Linked DNA regions of Schizosaccharomyces pombe. The protein of the gene in region 1 purifies or fractionates together with the protein of each later gene. This does not show direct contact. Each region holds a gene or a part of one and is shown in the gene's direction. Other genes may lie near its edges.

Region 1 (7,942 bases):
AAAAGATGCAAGAAGTTAATGCGGAAAAACTTCAACATGAAAACGAGAAACTTGAGAGCTCTCATGAACTAGGTAGTATCAGAACATTGAAAGCACAAAAGCTTATTGACCTTGATAACATTAAAAGAGAGTTGTCCTACTACAACGATGCTACGAAAAGGAAACTAGACTTTATGTCTTCTGCTCCAGGCTGGGAAGATGCTTATCAGACGTATCAGTTATTGAAGGAATACGAATCTGCGTTTGAAGCACCCGCATACGGCCCAATTTATATGAATTTGAAATGTAAGGAAAAAGGGTTTGCAGCTTTGATAGAAGGGTTTTTTCGCACGGATACGTTTCGAACATTTATAATGTCAAATTATAATGATTATCTAAAGTTAATGGATCTTATCACTTCAAAAACTAAGTACACTCCTACTATAAGAGAATTCTCCAGTGAACGAAAAAAGAAGATAGAAGATTTTGAACCTCCATGCTCTCGTGAGAAGCTTCAGTCTTTCGGGTTTGACGGATATGTGATCGATTTTTTAGAGGGGCCAGAAGTGGTTTTGGTTGCTTTGTGCCATATGTTAAAAATTCATCAAATTCCGATTGCAAAAAGGGAACTACCTCCCGCATCAGTGAATGCGTTAAACAATTTTCGTCTGGCTAACGGGGATCCAGTTCTTAAAACTTACTTGGCGGGCTCATCTATCCACTTGGTTTTTCGTTCAGCTTACGGTGATAGAGAAATTACTAGGCGAACAGACCCATTACCTTCTCGCAGTATATATTTTTCCGAGAACGTTGAGATGGATTTGGTAAAGCGAAAGGAGGAGCAACTAAATGCTCAACTCTCTCAATTGGAAAATTTACAGAATGAGGAAAGAAAGTTACAAGAAAAGGTAAATGAGCACGAATCGCTGCTTTCTCGTACAAACGATATATTATCTACTCTACGAAAAGAGCGTGACGAAAAATTAATTCCTATTCACGAATGGCAACAATTACAAGAAAGAATAGAACACCAAACTCTTCTACTAAGACAAAGAGAGAAAGTTCCTGAGCAATTTGCAGCTGAAATTGAAAAAAATGAAGATATCAGGAAAGAGAACTTCGAAGCTCTTATGAATTCGGTGTTAAAAGTTAAGGAGAATTCAATTAAAGCTACGAATAATTTCGAGAAGATGTTGGGAAGTAGACTTAATGTCATAGAAGCGAAATACAAACTTGAAAAACACGAGATGGATGCCAACCAAGTCAACGCTCGATTGACAGAAGTACAAGATCGTCTTAAAGATATTACCGATAAGTTAGCCTCAGCAAGGGAGGATGCTATGTCCTTGTACGGTTCAGTGGTTGATTCATTGCAGACACAATCATCTGACAGACAAACGGCAATAACTGAATTAAATGAAGAATTTGCTACTAGTTCGGAAGTGGATAACAAAATTAGCATCGAAGAAACGAAACTGAAGTTTATGAATGTTAATAGTTACGTTATGGAACAATATGATGCGCGTAAAAAAGAAATTGAGGAACTAGAATCGAAAATGTCAGACTTTGATCAATCCGTTGAAGAGCTCCAAGACGAGATGAACTCAATCAAAGAGGATTGGGTTAGTAAGTTAGAGGAGAATGTTCAATGTATTAGCGATAGATTTTCTAAAGGAATGAGTGGAATGGGATATGCTGGAGAAGTTCGACTAGGGAAATCCGACGATTATGATAAATGGTATATCGATATTTTAGTACAATTTCGAGAGGAAGAAGGACTTCAAAAACTTACGGGTCAACGACAATCTGGTGGAGAACGTTCTGTATCTACTATAATGTATTTATTATCTTTACAAGGTTTGGCAATTGCTCCGTTTCGAATAGTTGATGAAATAAATCAAGGAATGGATCCTCGAAATGAACGAGTTGTGCATAGGCATATCGTCAATTCAGTGTGTGACAACGCTGTTTCACAATACTTCTTAGTCACTCCAAAGTTATTACCAGATTTGACATACCATCGAAATTTGAAAGTGCTATGTATTTGTAATGGTGCTTGGTTACCAGCAACTTTTAGAACATCCCTTTCTACCTATTTTGAAAAGTTAAAGAAGTCCGCACTCATTTCTTCGTCATAAATGCTACATTACCATATTTGTCTTGTTGGCATACTTTTTCTTAATTTTTGATATTTGTTTTGTCCGATGGTGTTTTGTTTACTAAAGAATTTATTTTATGAGTTTTAAAATTTTGCATACGAAGTTACCCGTTAGTCATTTCGTTCCTTAGAGTCACCGAAAATTTGACCGTTAGATTTAATAAATTAATAATATCATTATCTTTAATTATTGCTTTCAGCATCCTGACATTTAAAATGTTATATCTTTATTGCTTAACTTATTCAAAAGATACATGTGCCCTTAACGTAGTTTTGTGTAATACAATTATCGCGCAACACCGTAGATGTGGCGCTATCGGGAATCCATATTAACGTAAACAACAAAGAATTGGGATCATTCTTGTGCTTACCCATTTCTGTTCATTAGACATTGATTTTAGAGAAGCTTTATTAATGTCTTCTGAAAGCAAAGGAATACCAATTCCCCGCTCTGATTCTAACAAAACCAGCGACGTTAGTTCGTGGGAAGAAGATTACGAATTGATCAGCTTAGGCTCCAGTCAAGACGCTTTGCAAAGATCAGGCATTCGAAGTGCTCATGGAGATTCAGGATACGCGTCTTCTCCACTGCGAATGGAACATTTGAGTTCATCCACTATAATTATCAATAATCAACTAAAGAAGATAGACGTGAACGAAAGTATTCCTGAGAACTCAACGTTGCATAACAAGTATGAACTTGGTGCTGTAGAGAGCTCAACAAGTTCTCTTAGTTTGCTCCAGAGTAAAGAAGAAGATGATAGCAGTAATTGGGAAACTGAGGATTCAGAATCTGCCGTCGAAGAGGCAGAGCTTCCCACTATATTCGAGGGAAAAACAGTGATATCTCCTAGTAGCTCTGGTACGGATCACAGTGAAGCTGTCGAATATACTGTTCCTACAGCTCCCCCAATACCGGACTTGCGATTCCAACAGTCATATCTCCAATCTATTCAGCGTGCAAATGGGTCTGCCTTTTTAGTTGCATTAATTACTCTTCGTGATCACGTTCTATATCCATTTTTAAGCGGAGGGATGTGGGTTTTTGTTCGCCATATTTTCCAATTCTTAAAGCTCCAAGAGAAAGGGTTTCACTTTGGCCAGTCGCTTCGCCGGAATCTGGGCTTGTTTTCTACCTTCAAGGATTAATCCACGTTAGATTAAGTGTTATAGAGCTATCCAATTGCTCTCATCAGTTTTTTAGTTTTCTTATTTCCTTTGTAATGGCCCTATTCTATTGATATGAATTTTATAAGTTTTTTTAACACCAGTCATTTCCCCCTTTTTGTCTAGCACACTTTCATGGCAAATGATTTTTTTAAAGATTAATGAAATTAAAGCAAATGTGTTCTAGTAGGTTTGCCAACCGAGCATCGTCTCAATTCTTGGGTAACAACTATAAATTTGTTTTTTCCACCTTTTGCTGCTAATTAGTTAGCATTTACGGCGTCACTTTTATTCCAACACTACTTCATTCTCATTGCCAAGATAGCTAGCAATATAATCAGTCCTAACTATTAAGCTACTATATCACAATTTCAATGTTTGATAGAACGATTTGTTTTTCTCTTCATACAGCGAACAAATTTGTATCTGATAGAAATCATATATTTTTGACTATTATGATAAAATTAACTAATATTAAACTACAAAACAAACAGAACAGCAATATCGGCCATCCAAATTTTAGTTGACATAAATGCGGAATAGGTGTTCATGGGAACAAAAAGTGTGATCTTTCTTTTTTTTTCTGTTTTTTTACAAAAAAAGGGAAAATTTAAATCAATTCGTCAATCTTCTTGAGAAGGATTTGAGCATGGTGCTTTTGGAATACAAGCATAGGACGAAGACGAATAGCAGCTACACCACAGCCACCAATGTTGACACCATTAATTCTCATGTCAGCACAGAATTTGTCACGGGCTGCAGGAGACTCACAATCCCAAGCGATAAAAGTACCCTTTCCCTTACCGCGGAGGTTGTTGATTTTGCCAGGGTGCTTACGAGCAAGCTCTTCAAGTCCAGCATACAAGAAATCGCCAACAGACTTGACGTTATTAAGGAGATCCTTGTCTTGAATTTCTTGAAGAATATATCTAGATTGAACAGCACGGAATGGGTCACCCATCCAAGTATTGAAGTGCTGATAAGCATGAGGACGAAGAGCCAAATCATGATAGAAAATACCGGCAGCCTGGAATTTCTTGGAAAAGGTAACCATGTCAGGAGGATAGGGTAAATTCCATTGCTCGTGAGCCCATAAAGTACCGGTAGAGCCGACACCAGTTTGGACTTCATCGACGATAAACTTGACATCATGCTTCTTCAAAGTAGCTTGAAGCTTGTGGAAAAAGTCAGGAGAGGCATGGTTGTCACCACCCTCAGATTGAATGGGCTCAATGATACAGGCAACGACAGGGCAATGGTGGTTAGTTAAAATTTGCTCGACCTGGTCAATGCAGCGTTGCTCCTCCTTTGCATTCTCTTCGACGTGCTCTTCCAAAGGATACTTCAAAGCAGGGAAATCAGCTTGAGGCCATGGGAAAGCAGGCATACCAAGCTTGTGAACAGGCTTGGAGCGAGTAGTGGAAAGAGAACCAAAGAGACGTCCGTGGAAAGAGTGACGGAAAGAGAGAACAGCAACTTCGGGAGATCCAGGAGCAGCGTTGTTTAAGCAGCTCTCGTTCTCTTCAGCAGTGTAATCACCAGTAGGTCTAGGCTTGTTGTTGAAATGATGAAGCATAGCAAGCTTGTAAGCAATCTCGTTGGCATCACTTCCACTCATTTGAAAGTAAACATACTTTTGACCCTTGGGGGCATATTTGATGGCACCCTCATAAGCGACACGAGCCCATTCCTTAGGAGGGTAATTTCCCAAAGCAGGACGGTTCATTAAAATGGTAGCGACTTCGTCCGACTTGGCAGCCTTGAGGAGAGTAGGATTGTTGTAGCCAATGGGGATAGTAGCGATTTGAGAGTAAACATCCAAGAGAACGTTACCATCCAAGTCGACAAGATAGTTACCAATGGACTTTTCATAGTCTACAGGAAACTTGACAGCGCTGATGTCGTGGTATTTGGACATTTCTTCAGCAGCGGCCTTACCTTTGGGACCGGGAATAGTTTCGGTCTTAATGCTAGGGCCTTGAGGCTCATTGGGAAAAAAATGAGTGCTTTCAGTAACGGTGGCAGTAGAAGACATGTTGAATAGAAAAGTATAGTCTAAATGGAGGAGAACCTTAACTTAAGGCAGTAGAAAGTAAAATTAAAAAAATAAAAATAAAAAATAAAAACAAATGTTTACAATGAAACTCTTTTGCTAAGTTCTATGCAAAAGCAGGAAAAAAAAGAAACAAAAAAACAAAAACCTCAAAATGTGAATGATAATACTTTGTTTTTTAAAAAAAGATGCTGTTTTCGTAGGAAATCGCTTTCCTTTTATAATTCGTCTCGCACGACAAATTTCCAACTTTTGATTGCGGATTTTAACCTTCTCAATTACAATCTATGCTCGGGCAACATTTCCTAAACTTCCCATATCCAGCTCGCTAAGCGGTGATAGATAAAAAATGTGGTCGGTACACTTGGCCATCGGCAACCGATACCAATTTGCAAGGCAAACGATTTTCTATGGGGATATTCGGATGATCGAAAGAAACAATAGACGAAACTCATGATTTCATCTGCGACTTTGCATCCTTCAGAAGGTTGGCAAAAACGAACATCGAGGTATCATTGTAGATGTAAATGAATGTGCATGGACAATTCTGATGAATATGTTCAAAAAATTATCAATCACGATGGGCAAAAGGAAAAAATTTCACGGAGATAGCAAAACGCTCGGATTGCCTTTGAAAGGATGAGTGGAAAATAAATCTTTAGATTTTTATTAAGTTAAAGAGAAAATCACTTTTTTTATCAGTTGGGATTGAAACGTTTGGGACAAACGGTAGGCGGTTTTAGCACAGGTGGCCAAGATATGCATGCGTATAATTTAGATTTTTTCATCTTTGACATTAGCGATACTAAAGCGTTTCGATACGAAAACGTTGCGATACAAAAACGTTAAGAATATTGTTTAACTAATGGTTTTTGATCCATGGGTTTATACCACATAGTCAATTAATAAGTACTTGTTTTCAAAGTGTCACAAAAACATCTGGGATATTAAGAGTGAATATGAGGTGGAAATAGTAAATTCTAATGCGTCCCCTTCATGAAATACATTTCCTTTTCTCTTTCAAAATTACCCTACATTTGTAGCTTCTACCAAATTACTTTTCTAATAACAAATCGTTTGTATTTCTCTTTCCTTTGCTTCCCTGTAGAATAACGCACTAGGGGGGTTTGATGACACGCTATATAGCAATTTATAAGTTATTGTCTAAAATGTTTACAACCATTCCTCGTTTGATATTTGACGAAAGGTTCGACGATCGCTTCAAGTCACTAACACTCCATAATTTAGCTTGACCAAGCTTGATCAATCTTTGGACTGATAATTTTTTGATAATCTTAGGTTAGCGTGAATGAATTGCGCGTCATAATAATAAGTTAACGTGATCAAAGGGATTGCAAATCACCACTTAACATATTAAAACTTGTAATCCTAATGTATATTTACGTGCAGTCATTGATATTTGTTATATAATGATAGCAGAGCTAAATGTACACGGTATATAAAATAAAGATAAGAATGGTAAAGCACATAAACTAGTAGATAACGTTTTACATTAATTTTTAGTCAGCGTCTCTTTTCTTTATCCAAATTGTAATTAGCATTTTCAATAGTCATCTTGCCGTATTGTATTCTATCGCATTGTGTTATTCGGTACAAGGTAGAATCTTAGGTAGCTCCACCACCAATTTCGTGCACGACAGCACAATTGGTGTAAAATCCAGTTGGTCGAGACATTTAATTCATGGTATCAATATCTTTTCTTTTTCCATCTCTCTTTTTCTAATATTTCTGACTATTCCCTTGTTTGACATTGGGTAAACCACATCTGCTTTTTCTCTTTGCACTCTTTACCATAATATTCCAAGTCTATGCGTACATTGCTGTTGAAATCTTTGAACTTCATTCAGTTTTATTTCGTCGTGCTTCATGCTTCGTGAATTTTCGTTTTACGATGTGCCTCCTGCTCACGTGCCACCGGTTTCGGAGCCTTTGGAAATTGCCTGTTATAGTTTATCGAGAGATCGCGAACTGCTGCTTGATGATAGCAAGTTAAGTTATTATTATCCTCCACCGTTATTTTCCGATCTGAACACGGGATTTCCTAATAGGTTTCACCCTCCTAAATCCGACCCTGATCCTATTTCTATTGTAAAGGACGTGCTCATGACTAAAGGCATTCAGATGAATTCCAGCTTTCTTACTTGGCGTGGTTTAATTACAAAAATTATGTGCGCTCCTTTGGATCCCAGAAACCATTGGGAAACTTATCTGGTTATGGATCCCACCAGTGGAATTATTATGATGGAAGAGCGAACTCGATCGGAAACTAGTTATGCCAACCAAGACCGAATGTGTTACTGGGGTTATAAGTTTGAAGCCATTTCCACACTTCCGGAAATATGGGATGCTTGTTCGAGAGACCAAATTGAGCAACGTGACAACCAAGATGTTGTGCCCGACGAGCAGTATTGCTCCATTGTCAAGATCAATATCGGCAAGTCAAAATTGATACTCGCAGGCGAGGTCGATTGTATTTGGGACAAAAAGCCCTGCAGTGCTAAAGAAAGCGATGTTCATAGTGATGATGGAACAATTGAAGAAGATGCATCCAATGCCGAAAATCC
Region 2 (3,344 bases), on another chromosome or scaffold:
TTTGAACCTTGTGGGCTTCGAGAAGACCACTTGCCATCAGAGGAATCACAAAGCGTATTATGTCTTTTGAAGTGACAAGCATATAAACTGAATTTGACTTTCTCACAATCCGCCCATGTTGTAGTAATGTTTGCAAAGAGAAATTAAGCGCCAGTATGTGATTTCCATCACAGTTCTCTACTATTTCATTTTCGACGTTGAATATATGAACAAGTGGGAGGTGCAACTCTTTTGCTTTTAAATAAATAATGAGTTCTTCAATTGTAAATCCAGCTTGCACATTTAATTTACACATCTGCCTTATGCACTTAAGTAACTCCTTCGCATGATCTTTAGGAAAATAGGATTTCTTGGGTGTGCGAATGATTGAATGGTGATTTTTAGAGATTTTGGTTAAATTTTTTTTGTATCTCATCCTTTTCTGCCATGCCTTCCATTCATCATTTGGATCACGAAGTTCTTCAAACGACTGAGCAATTAATTCAACCTCAGATCGGAAAGAATTTATCTTTCCAAAGACACAGACAACATTTCCAGGAGACATAGATATTGCTCTTTTTGACATTGAAAAATCATCTTGAATAATAAACACGACACGCAATACCATCCCGCTACAATCATCCACTAAATTCAGTTAGGAAATAGAAAAAAGGGAGCTATAGAGGCAGATGCTTCTCAAAAGTTGATTTTATAAAAAACCTTAACTAGATTCAACAACTAAATGAGTCGTGTATGCAGTAGTGGAACTGCTTATTGCCTCAATGCTGATATTCGTTACCTGTTAAAACATGCTTTCCTTCATAAATATCAATTGCCGCAATATAGCCAACAATTTGAATCCATCTTATGGGAAATCCCATCCAGAAGCCAATGTATCCTAGATATTTGTAAGAATCACTTTGTGATATTTATTTTACAGAAAGAGCACTTACGCTGTAAATGTGGATGAAATGAAATTTTATGAACATCGCTAATAAACATGGGGTTCCATCTTGATAATGTAGGAAATTGATGCGTTAGTTGATTTTCATTTTCTAGCATTTATTAGGTCATTCCCTTAAAGACTTTCAACCATATGATTTGCAATTTTTCAAGTATATAAGTAAATAAAAATTAGTATGCTTCTGGTCAACTATCAACAACAATCGCAGCGTTTTCGAAAATTAAGCAATGATTTGGTGTTTGTGAAGTCTTCATCTTCCTGAGTGCGCGTAATAAGGATAGAGCAATTCTACGAGGATAATAACTATTTAAGTTTCTACAGTAAGATTAAAAGGAAAAAAAATATCTTAACTCTTTATTAGGACATGCATTGATGCTGTTATAAAAAATGCTAATTGACTAAACAACTTTATCAATTGAATTTAGTCTGGTTTCACGCAACTTAGTTATAATTGAATTTGAGAGAAGATCCTAAAAAAGACGTCTACTGACAAAAAGTGAGAGTACAGAATTCGTCAACCAATTTTGTAAATGTCACACCAATGTGCATTGTTTATATCTTGCTAAATTCTAGCACACAAATTCCTATCTTCATATACCGGATAATTCTAAATTATATGATTTATTTATGAATAGGGAATACGCAAGGAGGTATGAAAACCAAACTTCTTCAGTTATTGATGTTTCACATTCAACTGTTTTGAAGATAAATTATATTGCTCCTACTGTGTTCGATCAAGAAACCTCGTGGAAAAATGCATTCTTTAAAAGAGTAACTAAAAAAAACCAAAACTCCCAACTTTTTTTTGTTTTATGTTTATAACGGTCTATCAATTCTTCAATAAAGTGTTACCAAACAAAGCACTTAGAGGTAAGGATGGCAAAAATAAAGGCTTTTCTTAGGTCGAAATATTTGTTGTGAAACAAAGGGTATCCGCGAATAGCATGACAGCGGCTGTTCTGCTCAGCTTTCATCTGAAATTGAATAAACTAGCAATACCAAGAATACAAACAATGTACCCAAACTCATAGGTAAAGCATATAGAAACAAATAACCTCTTATCATCAGTGAATATGAATTATTTTTGCTGAATATACTCCCTGTTTTCAAAATTTAGTCTCACATGATCAATGTTGTTTCGACAAATGTCCTATGTATAAATGTAACAGCCACTATGTGACCTTCACCAGAGCCATACTTGGTAATAATACACTTTTAAGCATACGTTAAAGGGGTTTCGATTGCTGACAATAGAAAAATTTTTTAATTAAATTCTAAATACAACGTTGCTAGTTCAATCGAACTATTCTAAAGTCAGTTTAGTGAAAACAACATGGCCGAAGTTTTAGATCTTGAAATTGACCCAATTTCAGATGGAGAAGATGATACCTATTCTAGTGAATTGGATGATGATTTAAAGGATTCCATTGAACAATTGGAACGAGTTTTATGTTTGGTGGTGTTCCCGTTGTTAGGAAAGTTTCTTGGTCGTAAATTCGCATTTCATGGTAAGTTAGTATAAATTAAAGGAATAGGAATAGATGGTGGATTTTTTTTATTTGCTTTTAGTTTCTCAAAGAGGAAATAAGTTTTGCAAATAATTGAATAATAGAGCAAAAAAATCCGTTTTTGGAGAAAGATTGAGCACAACTGATTTTCTTATTCCATCAGCTTGAATTATAGCTTTTTCTTCCTATAAACTGTTTTTAAATGGTCTGCTTGTTGGTCTACATTTACATCTTTCGTTATTTTTTAAACATTTTTGTTTCCATTACTGTTCTATTAGTCTTTCATTCTTAACCTTTTCTACATCCTTAAACTTCTGTACATTTATTGTATACTAACCCTTGGATTTAGCATGGGCTCGCTGGTTAGAACGGAGGCGCTTGGTTAGTAATTAAAAAGATTTATTTCTGAATCTTCTTACATTCGCTGGTTTAATACTTATTGTTTCTGTTTCTATTATGATATTGTGTGATGAAACCCATAGTGTGCCATTCGTTCTCGGATGAAATTCTCTTTATGATCTGAATAAGAATTAATGAATATTTGATTACTGTATAAATCAATGTACTCGACATTTATTAAATTGTAACGGTTTTTGAATCCGAACTTCAAAAAAAATTGGAAATGTGTGTATTCATCGTTTTGCTTATTGATACTATTCATTATTTTTTCCTTTCTTTTTGTTCAAATGAACAAACTGTTTAGTAAAAATGAGACATTTGCATCTACGACAGCCTCGACATATTAATAAACGACGTTAATGGGGTGACTATTAGTAATCTATGTTCCAGTATTATACCTGCCTCATCAGATAGTAATTTCATGACTAAAATTAAAAAATTAATTAGAAATCAACATTTCTAGAACCTTAAGTATTAGATCTGTTGATTCTGTA

Evidence for each region. Proteins that work in one complex are often made in the same cells at the same time.
Region 2: the proteins of atg43 (region 1) and mim2 purify together in Schizosaccharomyces pombe (affinity purification with western blotting; one study listed by BioGRID). This does not show direct contact.

Annotation. Positions count from the first base shown.
Region 1 is NC_003424.3:5,220,581-5,228,522, reverse strand, and holds atg43 (mitophagy receptor Atg43), read left to right. Parts: upstream 1-2,473; 5' UTR 2,474-2,551; coding exon 2,552-3,286; 3' UTR 3,287-3,914; coding exon of another isoform or gene 3,915-5,339; 3' UTR 5,340-6,720; downstream 6,721-7,942. Other genes in the region: Smc5-6 complex SMC P-loop ATPase subunit Smc5, read left to right, coding at 1-2,117; uga1 (4-aminobutyrate aminotransferase (GABA transaminase)), read right to left, coding at 3,915-5,339; SPOM_SPAC19D5.10C (uncharacterized protein), read left to right, coding at 6,804-6,812, 6,882-7,136; RNA NAD-cap (NAD-forming) hydrolase/RNA pyrophosphohydrolase Din1, read left to right, coding at 7,245-7,942. UniProt on the Schizosaccharomyces pombe protein: Mitophagy receptor that tethers atg8 to the mitochondrial outer membrane to promote selective autophagy.
Region 2 is NC_003423.3:1,162,042-1,165,385, forward strand, and holds mim2 (protein mim2), read left to right. Parts: upstream 1-2,128; 5' UTR 2,129-2,276; coding exon 2,277-2,451; exon of another isoform or gene 2,452-2,467; intron 2,468-2,638; exon of another isoform or gene 2,639-2,800; coding exon 2,801-2,844; downstream 2,845-3,344. Other genes in the region: telomere cap complex subunit Stn1, read right to left, coding at 1-624, 779-877, 933-1,041.